Linked DNA regions of Nothobranchius furzeri. The protein of the gene in region 1 purifies or fractionates together with the protein of each later gene. This does not show direct contact. Links are inferred from orthologs where the notes say so. Each region holds a gene or a part of one and is shown on either strand. Other genes may lie near its edges.

Region 1 (8,343 bases):
GGATTCCTTACAGGAAACTTTTTCTGATAGGCTTAATGAACTGGGGCCTCATTTATAAAGCTTTCTTACGGACAAAACGGGGACGGAAAATTGTGTAAGCAGCTTTCCACGCTAACTTTGGGATTTATAAAAGAAAACTTAGCGGAAAAATGTGCGCAACTTTAAGTTGACTAAGAACCTTGCTTACGCACATTTTGGACATGGAGAGCACCTGCAGTGCTGCTGCTGAGAAGGATAAAATTATGAATTCCAGCAGCATTACCACTTGTACTGCTTCGTGCGCACACAGAACGAGTCCCCCCACACGCGCACACACACCCGCGCACGGACACAAAATGCTGCAGCAAGCCGGCTTATGTATATGCATGAGATTCACAAGGCATTTTGCACTGGCCATTTATGGCAGAAAGTGGGTGTGTTGAGGGCGGGATGTGACTAAAAAGCAGCTGAGAACCTCTCTCGTAAGTCTGATTTATAAAGCAGAGATTGCCGTCAGCTGCATGTTTTATACGTCACAAACCTACTTGGCGTAAGTACATTTTTTTTGCTGAGCTTAAGTACGGTTTTAGTAAGGATTCTACGCAATGTTTTATAAATGAGACCCTAGAACTGTATTAGAATGTTTACTTTGCGAAGTACCTTCAGACGACTCTTGTCACGCTATATTACAGTTTTTCTCCATTGGTTTGGCTCATTTCTTGAAACAGAAATTACATTCTCAAAATAATATGGACAAACCTCCAAACCTCTTGGAGGTGGCATTTCTGATGGCATTTCTCATTCATTTTATCAAATGGCAAATGCCTTAGTACATGTCTCAATTGTCTCAGTGCATCTTTGCAAACGATTAAGTACATGTAGCCTACAGTTATACAGTTAGCCCACATTTAGCATTTTCCAAATAAATAGATCTTGTAGATCTAAACCGATTAGTTGATTCTCAGTCTAATGATCATTCTCTCCAAAACATGTCAGCATGATTACATTGTATAAGTACTCGCATGCACAACTGTCTGTTCAATTGTCAGAATTGGTTAAGAATATAATACCATGAATACCGTTTATGAATTTCTTTGAATATTTGATACATTGATGACAGTCATTGACATCGACATATAAATATTGGACAATGGGTTTCCATAGACTCCAATAATAAGTTTTTGAGCTAAAATGGGAGGTAGCCACCACCGCCATTTTGACCGTGTCAAGGTTCCTTCAAGCCCAGACAATTCCACAAAAGGAAAGAGAGGTGGAGCTGAGGGTGGGGCTGTAAGGCTGGGATCAACTGACGACACCCGGTCGAACTAGCTACAAGCTAACCTGAAGCTAACCCAAAGCTAACGCGGAGGTGGGAGCTAAGCTAACGGAGGTAACAACCTAGTTACAACCGGAGTTAACTGTGCACAACAACAGAGCTTCTGAGTCAGAGATACGCCGGGCTGACCGCTGGGTAAAACCGGGTGGAACACAGAGGTCTCCCGAGAGCTCCACAAGCCAGCAGCCGCACAGCAGACAAGCGCCGCTGCGATCTGAGATGCGCAGGGCTGCCGCTGGGGAGAACCGGGAGGAAAGGTTTCCATCCCAGAGCTCCACAAGCTGGCAGCCCGCGCAGCAGACAGAAGCCGCGATCAGACAGAGATGCGCCGAGCTGCGGGGAGGGAAGAACCGGGTGGAAAACATCGGTCTCCCGAGAGCTCCACAAGCCGATTGTCGGAACCCAGCTCCACCAACATGTTATATTTCAACCCATTTTCTAAAGTGCAGCATTATGTTAAATGCACTGGGTTTTACCCTATTACATTTAAATTTCATGGTTAATCACTACATGTTAAAATCTAAGCTCAGCTCGGCAGTGACCTAAAATACATAAATATAATTTTACTTACCGAAAAAAATGAAGTGGAGACTCCTTGGACGCTCTATTAGTGCAATTAATACCACAGCAAGTCTTTTTGTCCAACAATTGCACAAAAAATATCCAAAAAAGAATGTACAAACACAGAGACTCAAAATCCTGGAACAGTTTCCAAGCCAGACCGAGGCTCTACTGAGAGCTAGCTCTATGACTTTGAACGTCAGTTGAGAGTCAGTCTCATGCCAGACTGACCAGTGAAGAGAGGGCCTCAAGTTAAGACCCTCTCCTCATTGGTCAGTCCACACAAGGTGGGTCAAAGGTTACCCTGAGCAGGTTACATGATGTCAGGCATTCAAGTATTGAGTATATTTACTGCATATTACAGTAAAATATTCTGTATGTGACCATATTATGGTGATCCTTGGGTCATGATGATGGGGCCCTTGAATATTGTTGCCCAGGGTACAACAAAGTGTTAATCTGGCCCTGCTCCTGCCACCAACAGAGCAGCTGTTTTGGGGAGTTTGCAAAGAAAATGTGAACTTATCGCTATCATAATCATTCTGTCCTGTTTTGCAAAATACTGCGTGCTTTTTGTTTCTTTTACTTACAAAACTGAAACACAACTGTGAAATTATTTATCACACTGTTGGACATACTTTATATCTCTTGGCTCTCAAGCATTGATGCAATCTTATTAAAGCAGAGTAAATAGGATAAACATGTATGCCTTACCTTGGTGTGAAATATAATAAAACTGCCCTTTTTCACCCAGGTTGCAGGTCTGTTTCTCTTCTAGAGTAATGAAAACTGCTGAAAAAAAGTCTAAATCATAATCAGCTTTGAATTCAATTTCGATATACATTTAATCAGATGATGAGAGATGTGTTCTAACTTGTAAACAACAATATTTATTATAAGCTCACATTTGACGTTTTTTATGTAATTTTATAAAAGAAAATGAAGCTGGTATGTTGCAAAATAGGACAGAATGGTTATTGTAGCGCTAAATTCATATTTTCTTTTTTAAAACTCCTCAAGACCTAGGCTGTAACCCTGTAGCGAGGAAAGACGGTTCCTCTTACATTAAATAGCCAATCGCAACAGAGCCCATCCAGCTAATCAGAGGCGAGAAAAGCGGGACGTCATACGATTCCAAATGACGTTTACGGCGAGGCTACGTAGGGAAGGTCTTCGATCTCGCGAGACTTTCCGTGAATTGGCGTAGCCGCGTTTGTGTGGTGTGTGTTACTGTACACGCTAACTAAACCTAACCACCTAAACTTTGTCATATTTGTCGGTAAACCTCTCCGGTATACATAGTTAAGGTGAAGTGGTCTTTAGAATCAACGTAACCATGAGTGTGCTTGCCAAAATAGCAGAGATAGAAAATGAGGTAAGGCGAAAGTTGACGCTTTAAACCCTTCGAGTCTGTCACGTTTAGTTCACATAGCTACTGCTAGTCGCTAACGCTATCTCATAAAAGAAGATCCATTTTAACCTATATTTGACTGGCCCCGCATCCCTGACAGTTTAAGCTGTTAAAAAAAGAAAATGTATTTCAGTGTTCAGTTTAGTTGTCACTTATAGATGAATAAAGAGATTAATGTCAGTTCACAGATGTTGGCAACGCATATGCTAAACCGGTTCTAGCTTAGATTTGAATAACTGATTAATTTAATCTGTTAATTGCTTTAATATTATCGTTATTAACTGACAGATGCGCTGAGTTGACAATATCGAAATGCACTGACGCGAAAACGGCACCGGACCAAATTTTTGTTTTTAAGCCACTCTGAGCGTACAGGCATCAAATATAATTCAGATACGTGTAATAAATGGTTGTTTGTTGGTAATCTGTTATAAAAGTACAAATTGTCTCCAGTTCTTTAGAGTGCTACAAAATATAAAAGCAGAGTTAGAATTAGGGGTAGACCAATATATATAGGCCGATATTAACGGTTTTTTATACATCAGTGTTATTTGTCTTTCAGAAAGCCAATTTAAAGTCAGGCACATCCTCAGGCAGCCCGGTGCTGTTATAGAATTTAATCTAAATGTATTTTTGCATTCACTAATAAAATCTGCATAATAAATACTCTAACTTTATATAGTTGCCTCACAGTGCACAAAGTTAACAGTTATGGGCCATTCCCATCTGTACCGGGTCGGCCCGGGCCGGGTAGCGTAGGTTGTTTACATATCTGGGTGGTCTGGTATTTTTCTGGGCCAAACAAGGCTCATTCTCAGCCCTCTTCTCAAGGGGGTCTGCTTCAGGCCGACCAGGGCCAACACACCCACTGCTGACAGCAAATTCACACCTTCCATTAGAGCAAGCCTCTGATTGGTGGGTAGAATCAGCCCACATGGGCTTAAGACAAGAATGTGTGGAATCAACCAGGCCAGGCTGGGGCCGACTGGGGCTACCCGGCCCGGGCCAACCCGGTACAGATGGGAATGGCCCATTATTCGTTAAATTTAGAGATCAAAAACTGCTTCAGAAATTTTGTGCATCAACCGTTATTAGTGACAGTTAAGCATGAAAATCAGGTGGAAAATGTCTAGATATTGGCTATTTGAAATCGGGCCATAAATATTGGCAATACATATTGGACATTGGCTGAACTTGTCTCCTACATTTCGGCAATAGAAAAACAAATATCAGTAAATAAAGATTATTACAAGAAAATCAGCTTCCTAGGAAGCAAACCTGAAGAAGTTATGCGTGGTTTAAATGTTTTGAACAATGCTACTACTGTATTATTAAATAAACTTTTTCGAATAATCTAAATAAGTTGGTGTAATGAAATAGATATCCATCTTTCCATCAAAACTAATATTTTTTCTGCAATATCTGTATGCTGTGTGTAAAGTCAGATAGAACACAGATATGTATGACCTCCTATAATTATACTGAGCTCATATTAGGCACCCATCCAGTCTTCTTAAAGTTTCCTTTTAATTTTGAGCAAGCCATGAATCAAAATTTAGACATTTCAAGTAATTAGCTTCTGTTAAAGTTCTACTTTGAAAGCAATAAAACGGTCCAGCTAAATGTTTTACTTCTTATTTCATCATGCACTCTGGTGTTACTGTAGATGGCCAGGACACAGAAGAACAAGGCCACAGCTCACCACTTGGGTCTGCTCAAAGCACGTCTAGCTAAGCTGAGGAGGGAGCTCATCACACCAAAAGGCGGGAGTGGTGGTGGACCTGGAGAAGGTAGTCTTACTATATTGTGTATTTAATTCACAAATAGCTCCAATTCAGGAATTGTTTCTGAGGTTTCTCTCCCATGAGGCATTTAAATTTATGTCTGTTTTTATCCATAATTACAGAAATTCAGGTTTTTATTCTCTCACATACAGGTTTTGATGTGGCAAAAACCGGCGATGCTCGAGTTGGTTTTGTTGGCTTTCCTTCAGTAGGAAAGTCCACCCTGCTGAGTAACCTAGCAGGTGTGTACTCTGAGGTTGCAGCATACGAGTTCACAACGCTTACAACAGTTCCTGGGGTCATTCGGTATAAAGGTGCCAAAATTCAGGTACAGGAAAATGTCTTCCAGTCCTGAGATATTAAAGTGGTGTTTCATTGGGTTGAGATTTATTTTTTCTTTATAGCTCCTGGATCTTCCAGGAATCATCGAAGGAGCCAAGGACGGCAAGGGTAGAGGCAGGCAGGTCATTGCAGGTAGAGTTTTATTAGATTTCTGCTAAAGCAAAAAGAAAGCCACTGATGTTATAATTTTGGAATTTAACTGAAATCAGAAATTAACTTTGAATAAAAGGTTTTTTTTATGAATTGCTGTCAACTAGACCTAACTTGTGTGTTTATAACCTAAAACACGATGACTTATTGTAAATGTTTTATTTATAACTGTTTCATGTTCTTAGAGGCCTTAGCAGGGTTTCTGCAACTATCTAGCTCCTAAAATAGCAAACAATTGTGCAGACATGGCAAGCTTTATTCTCTTGCATCATTCCAACTGTATCTAATAAAACAGAATGTTATCTTTCCTCTTTCTGTTTTATTCTCAGTGGCTCGAACCTGCAATCTAATCCTGATAGTGCTGGATGTGTTAAAGCCTCTTCTTCATAAGAAGCTAATAGAACATGAGCTGGAGGGCTTTGGCATCCGACTTAACAAACAGCCTCCCAACATCGGGTTCAAAAAGAAGGACAAAGGAGGCATTAACTTCACCGCTACAGTACGTGATGCTTGGCACAACGGCGCAGGGATGAAGGGCTCATTTTCATCGTAATCCGCAACAGAAACGAATAAATACTTTCTTACATGTTTTAATTTATAATAATAATTTTGAATGATCAAAACAAAAATGTGGTTCGTCTAGATTAATGTAACAGAACAGAAGAAATTATTCATCAGACTGTTGACAGGTAACTGGGGCATGTAACCTTACATGTCTAGTAAAGTGCAGCTTTGTCAGTGGTTTATAGGGAGATAACAGCTCTACAGCTATTGTACAGTTAATAAGAAATGTGGTTTGATTGCATGATGCTGTTTCTTCATGCTGCTTTTGGGCCAGTGTGTACATTTGCTAGATTTATTCACCTTTAGCATTTTCGTCATGCCTTTTTCTCTGCTTCACATTTTCCCTTTCATCATCTCTCCGTGTCCTATTAGTGTGCTCAAAGTGAGCTGGATGGTGATACAGTTAAGACCATCTTGGCCGAGTACAAGATCCACAACGCCGACATCACCCTGCGCAGTGATGTCACAGCTGATGACCTGATTGATGTGGTGGAGGGAAACCGGTAAGCTGTCGTTCCCTGCGGGTGTGGCCTGTTGGAGTCTGAAATTGCACATGGGTTCCTTCTGCACCACTGCAGATGCATTCAATACAGCGTTTGGTGTTTTAAACAGTCTTGCTCATTGAAAAATTATGCAAGTTAATGTAAAACACAGCAATGAAATGTTGAATGAGAACTTTTTACTAGATATAACCACAAAACCTGAAAGTGCATCATTTTATTTTAAAGATGCCGTTCATGGACTGATCTTAACGTGTCCGCAGGGAATTAAAACATTTATGCTGCTTCTCTTTATTTTTGAAATTTTAATTGTTTGCCATCCAAACTCAATTCATACCAGTGAGAGACTAGATGCTTTTGCAAGAAAAAAGCACCTCAGGTGAATTGAAAATGTCTTTAGTGACTTCTAGAATGCCTAGGATCCCTTTAATGAAGTTGATGTAATTATCACCTATAGTGAAATGGGTAAAACAGGCAAAATTGATGATCACTGACTTTGTCAACTCCCAACAGAGTTTACATCCCGTGCATCTATGTGCTCAATAAAATCGACCAGATCTCCATCGAGGAGCTTGACATCATCTACAAAGTTCCCCACACTGTGCCCATCTCAGCCCACCACCGCTGGAACTTTGATGACCTGCTGGAGCGGATGTGGGACTATCTACAGCTTGTGCGCATGTGAGATTAAAGGGCTAAAAGGCATATACAGATTAAAAAACATGATTACTCATACTGTAACACCTGAGGTGTTGTGTTTATTGCAGCTACACCAAACCCAAAGGCCAGCTGCCTGATTACACGTCTCCTGTTGTACTCCCGAATGGACGGACTTCAGTGGAGGATTTCTGCTTGAAAATTCACAAAAATCTCATCAAGGAATTAAAGTAGTGAGTACTGTAGACCTTACAACATTATAATTTGTAATTTGCTTTGCCTTTAAGAAGACTTGCGAACAGGAGACGTGGGCTGCAGAACAGTTTTAGCAGACATCAATTCTTCAGCCTAGTTTATGCTTCAGCTCCATGTGGAAGAGACGCACACATTGACGGAGATGTTTTGCCTTCGGACTTCTCCTTCTCTTGGGGAGTGTAGCAAAGCAGTTCCCTGCCAGGACAACAGAGGGCGTAGCGCTTTTCTGAGGCATCCTGGCATGTATCCGATAGTGCATTTACTGTTGTTTTTTGTATTTCAGAGACTTTAACACAGACAAATTTGTCCTTCATTCTCCTCCACCTCTTCATGTCCCTGCCACCTGTAAACTCGTGTGTCCATCCACAAATATAAGCGCTTGCTGCTTATGTTAATACTCCTCCTGTGACAGACGTATAAAACCTTCATGTTTTTAGAGTTTTTCCACGAGGTATTCTTCAAGCTGCTCCATTTGCTACTAGATATTGTTGGCTCTCTTTAGTGCTGTTGACAAATTTAATAGAAGCAGCGTCCTGACCAATCACAAGCTTGCATTCTCAGTTTCGTTCGACGGACGTTTAGAAAAGATGGCTCGAGTCTGCCCGTCATTGTGAGCCTGTTGGAGAGCCCTTGCAACGACAGATAATGGGGTTGCACCACGTCTCCGCACCGACGCATAAACTAGGCTTAAAAAGACAAAAATGTAACATTACATTGCATTTGTCAGAGTCTCAGCATTACTCATTTATTTAAACCAAATAGCATTCAAATCAGGCAGAACTGATATCGATATTTGCCATTAAG
Region 2 (8,515 bases), about 20 Mb from region 1:
TATATATATATATATATATATATATATATATATATATTGTATATATATATTGTATATATATGTACATACATTTTATATTTTAGCATATTGGCTCAAAAACATGATTAAAAAACATGAAAAAGTTGCTAAATATTTATAATGATTCCAGATAAATGAGCTGTTGTAACTTTTGCTTTGTTTCAGAAAAGTCAGTGAGAAACAGACTACAGATGTTCAAATTTAACTCTGTAAATTTGTTTAATCTAAACAAATGCTGGATCTCTGAGTGTTAATAAAATAAAAACTCCTTTTGTGCCTTTTAAACAAAAACTAATTCCAAGAAGAACCCGTCTGGATCCTCGTTTCGGCTCCAGTTTATTTATTTCTTCATTCTCCAAGAGGGAGGAAACAAGGGATGGAAGCCTGGATGGATAAATGAGAAGAATCCTGATTAGATAAATCCCCGAGTGACAGGGAGCAGAAGAGAAGGTCTAAATGAAAGAGAAGGGATCACCAGGAGGGAATGTGTGGAGCGCCAGAGCTGTAGAGGGAGACGCAGAGGGGAGGAGGAGGAGGTGGAAGGATCAATATCTAATTTCAGTGCTGAGCTCAGGTTGGACGCTTTTCCAATAAGGCCAGAATGGAAGAGCAAAGTTTGAATAGGTGTGTGTCTCTGGCCGTCCTCACATCCATCTGCTGCAGGTCTGAAGCCTCTCCAGGACTCAGGCTGGTTCTGAAAGCTAGGACCGCTCCAGCTGATTTAGTCTGGACCACAGAGGGTTTAACTCACCAATCAGATTCAGGAGAAAAACACTCAAACCTGCAGGTTTGTTTTATCATGGAGCTGCAGCAAAGGGAGGTCCTCGCTAAGGATGTCCAGGATCATCCAGGAGCTTCTGACCAACAGGATTCCTCTGGAGCATTCAGGTGTGTGTCAACACGAGGAGGAAAAACACTAGCTTCCACTCCGATCCCAAATCAAGTCCAAGTTTTCCTAACAGATCAGTAGATCTCATGTTTTTATGTTTACCCTACAGGATGAGTGGTGGAAAGAGTTAACCAAGGCCGGTTCACACGGCAGGATAACTATGACCATTTTTTACCTGACCCCCCCACCCCCTCACACACACACACACACACACACACACACACACACACACACACACACACACACACACACACACACACACCTCCAGTTACAGTTACAGCTGCAGTTACATTTCAAATGTTCCCAGGCCAGCTGGCTCAAGAATACCAATGGGCTCAAGCTCAAGTCACGTGACAGAAGGACAAGTCATGTGACTTGACCCCAAACAACTGTCAATGAGAGTCCACTTGGAAAGGTCAAAGGTCATTTCCTAACTGTCTGGACTCCAACATAACATTTGGGTCAGTCGGAGAGGATGTCCCAGCAGGTCCGGCTCCGTCTCAGACTCTACAGTTTAAAGGTCAAAGGTCAGGGTTAGCAGGAGAAAAGCTCTTTGAAAGAAAGACTTCTGTTCACCCATAGCAGCGGATCCCAGCTGTCAGCACAGTGGTGGAGGTTTGATGGTTTGGGTCGGTTCTGACCCAGCAGCACACTAATGGCTTCTGGAGTCAAATATGAGCCTTTCTGAGTAACGCTTGGACAGAACCGAGCCTCAGAGCAGAACCAGAACCTCCTGTTGTTCTAAACCCGTGAAACCCCCCCCCCCCCCCCCACACACACACACACAAACTGTCTCCACTTGCCCTCTGAGGCTGAAGCTGCTTAAATCAATCCTGCGTTAATAAAATGGACGGATGGTATTTAAACCACACAACCCCCACCCTATGGGTCTTACACAGTCCAGAGAACTCCTTCTCCTTCGTAAGCAGCTCCTGTTCCATCGGCCCGCTGCCCTGAACGTTTCGCCCTTAAGTTATAAAATAATGAGCAGTAAGATAAATAACAGTTTTTTTTCTTTCCAGAGGCATCTCCGAGTTTATTCCCTCTAATTCCTGGCTCCTTCACCGGTCTTTAAGACCTTCAGATTCCCAAAGACGCTACAGAGGACACGGCCTGAGCATGTTCAGGAGCGACGGTGCCTCCTTACGGGTCTGAAGCAGAACTGAAACATGTCCTGTGAGTTTTAGCTCCATTATCAGCTCTTTATTATATCCGCTTAAACAAGAAATGCTGCTCGAAACATGAAGAAAAGCCCAAACCATAACACGTCCCCCACCGTGCCTCGCAGCAGTTTCAATTCAGCTGAGTTTGAGCTGGAAGAACAGGCTAGAAGAAGAGGTTTCACATTGAAGGGACAGTCCAGCCCCTCTGTGTTTCTGTGTAAATTACATAAGTGCTGCAGAAAACTTCCTGAGGTCAGGACTGACGTGCTAACAGCTAGTCTGAGTGTGTTTCTGTCATCCTAACTCAGCTCTGATCCTCTTCCTTTCACAGAGTGACCTTTACACTGACGTTACTTTGACAATATTGATTATTTACCTGGAATTCTGTTGTTTACATGCATACAATAAACATCACCAACAGGAGCCTGATGGAGCTGGGGGTGCGAGCGAGTCCTTCAACCACGGAAAGGTCTCTGGGACAAGAACAGCTTTTATTGACATTTGTGAGTAAATCCACTGATGACTCTGATTACATAGAAATATGAAACGACCCTGAAGGAAGCGTTTTTGGGCTCATGAACCGGAAGGATCAGCTACTAGAGTGTTTCCTGCTGAATCGAGCCTCCAGAGTTGTGGAAACACCAGGAGAACGATTCAACCTCACGGATCGATAATCAGCCTGATCTGAAGAGTTGTCTCCAGCTGAGGAACATGGGCTGAAACAGGCATTAGATGTTTGTTCTCAGCTATAAATCACCTTAGTTCATGCATGGTTTCTTGTCTGCCTGAAGAACGCTGCTGATGCGTTTGATCCTCTCACTGAACTTCTTGGTCTCTCCTTCAGAGCAGGAAGAAGCTGATATCTAGCACCGAACCGTCAAGCTGAGCCGAATTCACTGTGAAGGATTATTTATAACTTTATTGTTTGTATTTTTGCACTGGAGCTCCTCTCACTAGTGGCGGCAGGACTTCATGCTACCTTCTGCTGCTTGATGCTGGGATGCTCAGGATTCTGGGACTGAGGGTCTGGATGTGATTAATGTCTGATGTTCGGAGTTTGATTCTCTCAGACAAAAACAAGACACGCAGGAACTAGGCGATTATTCTGGTGCAGAAACCTTTGTGGAAAGAAGATGTGGTGATAAATCAGCAGGATGAATACTTACACAAAAAACATGACAGAAAAAATCAGGAAACAAGATGAAAGTTCATAGCTCCACACTGCCCTCAAGTGGTTATTCGGTAGATCTGCACCTGTGAGCAGCGCTGTTCCTCAGTCGGAAGAGATCAGTGACGCTGCTCCAACAAGTCCAATTAACTAAAAACTGCTGCATTGTTGTTTTAACCCATTTTAATTGTATATTACATTTAAGCCACATGGTTACCATGGTTACACGGGTGGTGTTAATGAACCAGATGTTCAGAGCTCTGATTAAAATAATAAAACACAGGCTAAAAGGATGACCTAAAAATCTCTGAATACCTTAAAGAAAAGAATGAAATGGACGTAAAAACCAGCAGAGACATCACAGCCGTCGGCTGTCAAAAGCGTGTCTGAGGAATCAGCCAGGTCTAAATCCTAAAAGGGTCCAGAATCCAGTAGATGGAGGCCAGAATGAAATGACTTGACCGTTAGGCTTCCCAGCCACTGGAAAAGCTCAAAACTCACGTGAGGGTCTGGGAACACACTGGGATGGTCCAGGAGGGCCTGTTACCTCAAAGGAAGGATGGATGGATGGATGGATGGATGGATGGTGGATACGTTTGTCTTAATTAATGTGGGAACGTTCAATCTTCTAATCTGCCAAGCAGCTCAGAGAAAGAGTGAATATTGCCGGGACACCGCTGGTTGCTACCCACACGTCTTTCTCTGTTGTTCATTCCATGGAGGAAAATTCACGAGTTCTACCTGTGGAGGTAACTAACCATAGATATCATAATTATTAATATATGATATCTAACTAATCATATTTATTAGTCACAAGCATCGTTACAGCTGAGAAATAATCAACCAATAATAATAATAAACACCCAAACACGCATTCTGCTCTGTTTCTACTGGAATAATAATGTTAATTGTTTCCGGCAGGGGGCGCTGCTGCCACGTCTTCATGTTAAAACCAAATAAGGAAATGACGTCCTGCTCGAGTTCCTCAAATAGAAAAGTGAGTAAAAGCTGCCGACGAGGTCAGGATAAGTCCTGCAGACACACACCAGGTAGGTTAAATGGTTTATCATCACTTTAATGAAGTTGGGAGTCGGAGTCTTTGTTTACCCGCGGAGAGGGAAGCTAACGGGGGTTAACAGCTAATAGGTCTAAAACTCTGTAACGAACCAGAAGTACCTGCTATGCTCCTTTAGCTAGCAGTAGTTAGACTTTATTTGTTTGGTTCATAAGTTAGTATTTTATATTAGAAATGCGTTATCTTTATAAATATAGTTGTGTTTTGTTGTTAAACTGAGTTTAAAACAGCAAGCTGGGTCCGACATGCTGAGCTCGTGTTCTTCTCTAAAGCACTAAAGTGTTATTATTAGCTTTAATCTGACTACATCAACGAGTCATTTAAAACCGGCTCGAACAGGTGGTTCGGTTGGTGCTGCAGCTGAATCCTCTGACCTGGTCCCAGAATGAATTTATATATATATATATATATATATATATATATATATATATATATATATATATATATATATATATATATACATATATATATATATGTGTATATATATACATATATATATATATGTGTATATATATATATGTGTGTGTGTGTGTGTGTGTGTACGCGTTTTAGCAGCACATTGATTGTGAAAGACAACTGAACACTAAATGTGTGCAATATAAATAATAAATATAAATAAGTCAATAAATCTCTTGATATTTATTGAACTTTAAATATAAAACAAACTCAAAGCTGTTAAAAAAACGTGTGTTGAGGTCCTCCGGGTCTTTTCTTCAGTCTAGTAGTGGTGGCAGTTGCCCACACACGTGCCTGATTAAAAAAAAAAAAAAAATTATCGGCTTTTTAAAATAATTTCAGTCGATGGCCGATAGACAAAATTTAGTATATTGGTCAGCCAGTGATGGTGATTCCTCTTGGCTTTGAACTGGATAATCCCTCTTTTCCATCTGACCTCTCCCTCATCTGAGTGGATTTCATAAACTCATAACTGTTACGTATGGCAGCTAATATTTCTTTTTGTGGACAGGGACAGGATGGGGGACATCGTGGAGGATGAGACCAGCTTTTACTCCAATGCTGAGGACTACTGGAAGGAGGTTCCTCCCACAGTGGACGGGATGCTGGGAGGTTACGGCAGCATTTCCAACATAGACATCAACGGGTCCAAGGCTTTCCTGAAGAAGTTCATCAGAGTAAGGCACTCAGCCTGAGTTCGGACAAGTAGTAGTAATGAAATAAAAAAATCACGTCCTGACTAGAGAATGCATGAGATAAGGATACATCACTAATTTAGCTTGATATGATTTTTCTCAGGACAAGAAATAATTACTGGTAATATTGTATGTGGTGTAAGTGTAATAAATACATTAAACAGCAGAGTCCCGGGAGATAACCGCGGCAAGCCCACAGGCCCGCCTGCAGCCTCCCTCCCCCAAGCTGGCCGAGCCCAGGACCCAGTGCCCCTGGACCCAGTGCAGGTGTCTTCTGGTCTACACCAGCTGATGCCACCACACAGTCCCACTCCACCCCCACACCCCTCTGTGTCTAAGTGCAGTTTAAAATTGGAAGTGGGCACCGGCACTCGGGGTGAGGCTGAAGGATCCCCCTGCCGAATGCCATTGAGTGTGCTCACTCCCAAGGCCCTAAGTGTGTGTTTGCGTCGGTGGAAGTGTTTAATGTGCAAATAAACTTGGGGGGCAGGTTGCCACAGAACTGTGGAAATGGGATCCATACCCGCACCCCCTAATTTCCCCACCCCTCAAGGTCCCATGTGCATGTTTGTGTGGTGATGTGAGGGAGCAGTAGGAGGAAAATGTTTGGGGATGGGGATGAATGGCTGGGGGGCCGTAAGCCCTCCAAGGAGCCAGCTCCCCCACCGACCCCAATAGGCACCTCCGTTCCCAAAATGCCACCCGGGGCATTGGGAGACCCCAGCCCATCTCGCCAGGGCCCCACGGAGCCCGAGGTCACTGACCCAGCCCCACCCCAGCAGAATATCTACTCCCATCCCTGAATTTGCACAACTTCCAGAATATTTAAGACATGAGACATCCAAGTAAGGCTGGGTCCTCCCCCTCATGAACACGGAGCAGTCCCGGTAGGTGCTGGTTCTGCTGCGTGTGTTCACTTTCACTGTTGCTTTGGTCCACTCATTTGTTTATTCTGTCAGCAGTGTTGGAGACGTCTTCACGGTGGGTTAATCGCAGCGTCTCACACCGTGGTTAATAGTCAAACGGTTAATCCTTGCAGTCCTAACCGCAACCGCTTTAAAAAACTCGAGAATTTTGCCCACCGTCGTCAAATTACAATAGTGGGCGCTGCAGTATTGGCTCTCAGGAGACACGCCCCGCCCACACTGATGGTAACAGTCGTTACGTCCCTCCTGCCTTTGTTTTGAAAGGAGAAACTATGGCAACCCAGCAGCTGGATATGAAACATGTTTCAGTAGAACCTTCCCTTCACTATATTCTTACATACTGCACCTTTAACATGTAAACATGGTGTTTCTGACACGATCAAATAAACAAGTTAAGCCACATAAATGTGTTTATTTACACAGGAAATGATAAAAGGGGCTTTAGATTTGGGTTTTACGCTTAATAACATTTATTTAGTTTTCAAACGCCGTCAGTTCAGCGTCGTTTCACATCATTCTGGAGTTAACATCCAGAAACAAAAACCCAACTCTACCAGTGACAGTAAGCCCCGCCCCCTGGTTCTAGCTGTGCTCTTGGACCCTGAGGTTCTGTAGTTGTGTTTTCCTACAGGAATAACGGTCTTCAGCACCGAGTCCGTAAATAAACGAACCAGTCGGTTGTTTTGGGATGCTGGACGTTGCTGGAGTTTTTCCCTGATTTGTGTCTCAGCCTTGTTCCCTGCTGGACTCTGTTCTGTCTTCCAAAGGAAGGCGAAGGGAAGACCGGGTCGGGCTGTGCTCTGGACTGCGGCGCCGGTATTGGTCGGATCACCAAACGGCTGCTGCTGCCTTTGTTCCAAACCGTGGACCTGGTGGACGTGACCAAGGAGTTCCTGGACAAGGCCAGGTCGTACCTGGGAGAGGACGGGAAGAGAGTGGAGAACTACTTCTGCTGTGGACTGCAGGACTTCGTCCCAGAGACGGGGCGGTATGATGTCATCTGGATCCAGTGGGTCATAGGTGAGTGTATCTAAGATCAGCATGTTCAGCGAGGTGTGCAGTTACGTCCAAATCTGACGTGTAAAAGCAGTCGCCTGGAAAAGGTGATGGTGGGATTGTGTCAGGTGGATGGAGGAAGTCGCGGTGTTCCTTTTAGTGTTTTCCTTCTGCAAAGTTGATGTTTTATCTCCACTATTAACATGAGCCTGGAGGAGTTCTGCTGTGTGGTGGAGTTGCTGATGCTAACAGTTAGCTCCTGCTAGCTGAGATGTCCTCTGCTGTTTCACTCTAAAATACTTATCTAGTTATTTTAGTTTATACTAGGGTTGGGACAAATCATTTGACCTTCGGCGATGGGCTGAGCCGTTACGTTTTTTTTTTACAGGAGGTGATTTGTTTGTTTGTTTGTTTGTTTGCCCGTGAGTTAGTTTGTTAATGACAAATATTTTACATTTTACACACAGAAAACATATCAGAGGTAACAATCAAGAAAGGATTTCCATCAGTGCATCTGAGCACTTTCTCACCTCCTCCGCCTCTCACTGCTGACAGTGGGCGTGCAAGCGGCGCGCTGAGGAGGAGCGTCTGACGCCCTCGACGTCGTGCACAACAGCGCGGTGTTGAGTGGAAATCCTATCTTTCAGACTCTGGAGGACTTCTGGTTATTTCCTTTGGAGAAATGTTTCCTGATTTAAATCTTTGGCTGAAGTAGCGCTCGTGGTTATCTGGCTCCTGATTCGTTCATTCAATTCAGTTTATTTATAAAGCACCAAATCAGGACGAGTCGTCTCAAGGACCTTCACGCAGTAAACAACACAGGTCAGGTCATTAAGCCAATCAGTAACAAGTTTCCTATATAAGGAACCCAGCAGGTTGCATTGAGTCACTGACTAGTGTCAGAGTGTTTACAGCAATCATACTAAGCATGCAGCGACAGTGGAGAGGAAAACTCCCTTTTAACAGGAAGAAACCTCCAGAGAACCCTGGCTCAGTATAAGCAGCCATCCACCACAACTCACTGGGGATGGAGAAGACGCAGACAGACCCGACCCGACCCCTGCTCAGTGGTCAACGTTCCTCGCGGGGTCACACCCATTAGGACAGTGGGAGGGTTAAATAAAATGCC

Evidence for each region.
Region 2: the proteins of drg1 (region 1) and ntmt1 purify together in Homo sapiens (affinity purification with mass spectrometry; 3 studies listed by BioGRID and IntAct, counting the BioPlex papers as one, with this or other methods). This does not show direct contact. The link is inferred for Nothobranchius furzeri from reciprocal best matches to the Homo sapiens genes DRG1 and NTMT1.

What each region holds. Positions count from the first base shown.
Region 1 is NC_091746.1:51,120,991-51,129,333, forward strand, and holds the start of drg1 (developmentally-regulated GTP-binding protein 1), read left to right. Parts: upstream 1-3,061; 5' UTR 3,062-3,212; coding exon 3,213-3,251; intron 3,252-4,953; coding exon 4,954-5,077; intron 5,078-5,223; coding exon 5,224-5,399; intron 5,400-5,475; coding exon 5,476-5,545; intron 5,546-5,892; coding exon 5,893-6,062; intron 6,063-6,499; coding exon 6,500-6,630; intron 6,631-7,140; coding exon 7,141-7,308; intron 7,309-7,394; coding exon 7,395-7,517; intron 7,518-8,343. UniProt on the Homo sapiens protein: Catalyzes the conversion of GTP to GDP through hydrolysis of the gamma-phosphate bond in GTP. Appears to have an intrinsic GTPase activity that is stimulated by ZC3H15/DFRP1 binding likely by increasing the affinity for the potassium ions.
Region 2 is NC_091746.1:70,919,299-70,927,813, reverse strand, and holds the start of ntmt1 (N-terminal Xaa-Pro-Lys N-methyltransferase 1), read left to right. Parts: upstream 1-4,182; 5' UTR 4,183-4,287; intron 4,288-5,280; 5' UTR 5,281-5,287; coding exon 5,288-5,446; intron 5,447-7,157; coding exon 7,158-7,410; intron 7,411-8,515. UniProt on the Homo sapiens protein: Distributive alpha-N-methyltransferase that methylates the N-terminus of target proteins containing the N-terminal motif [Ala/Gly/Pro/Ser]-Pro-Lys when the initiator Met is cleaved.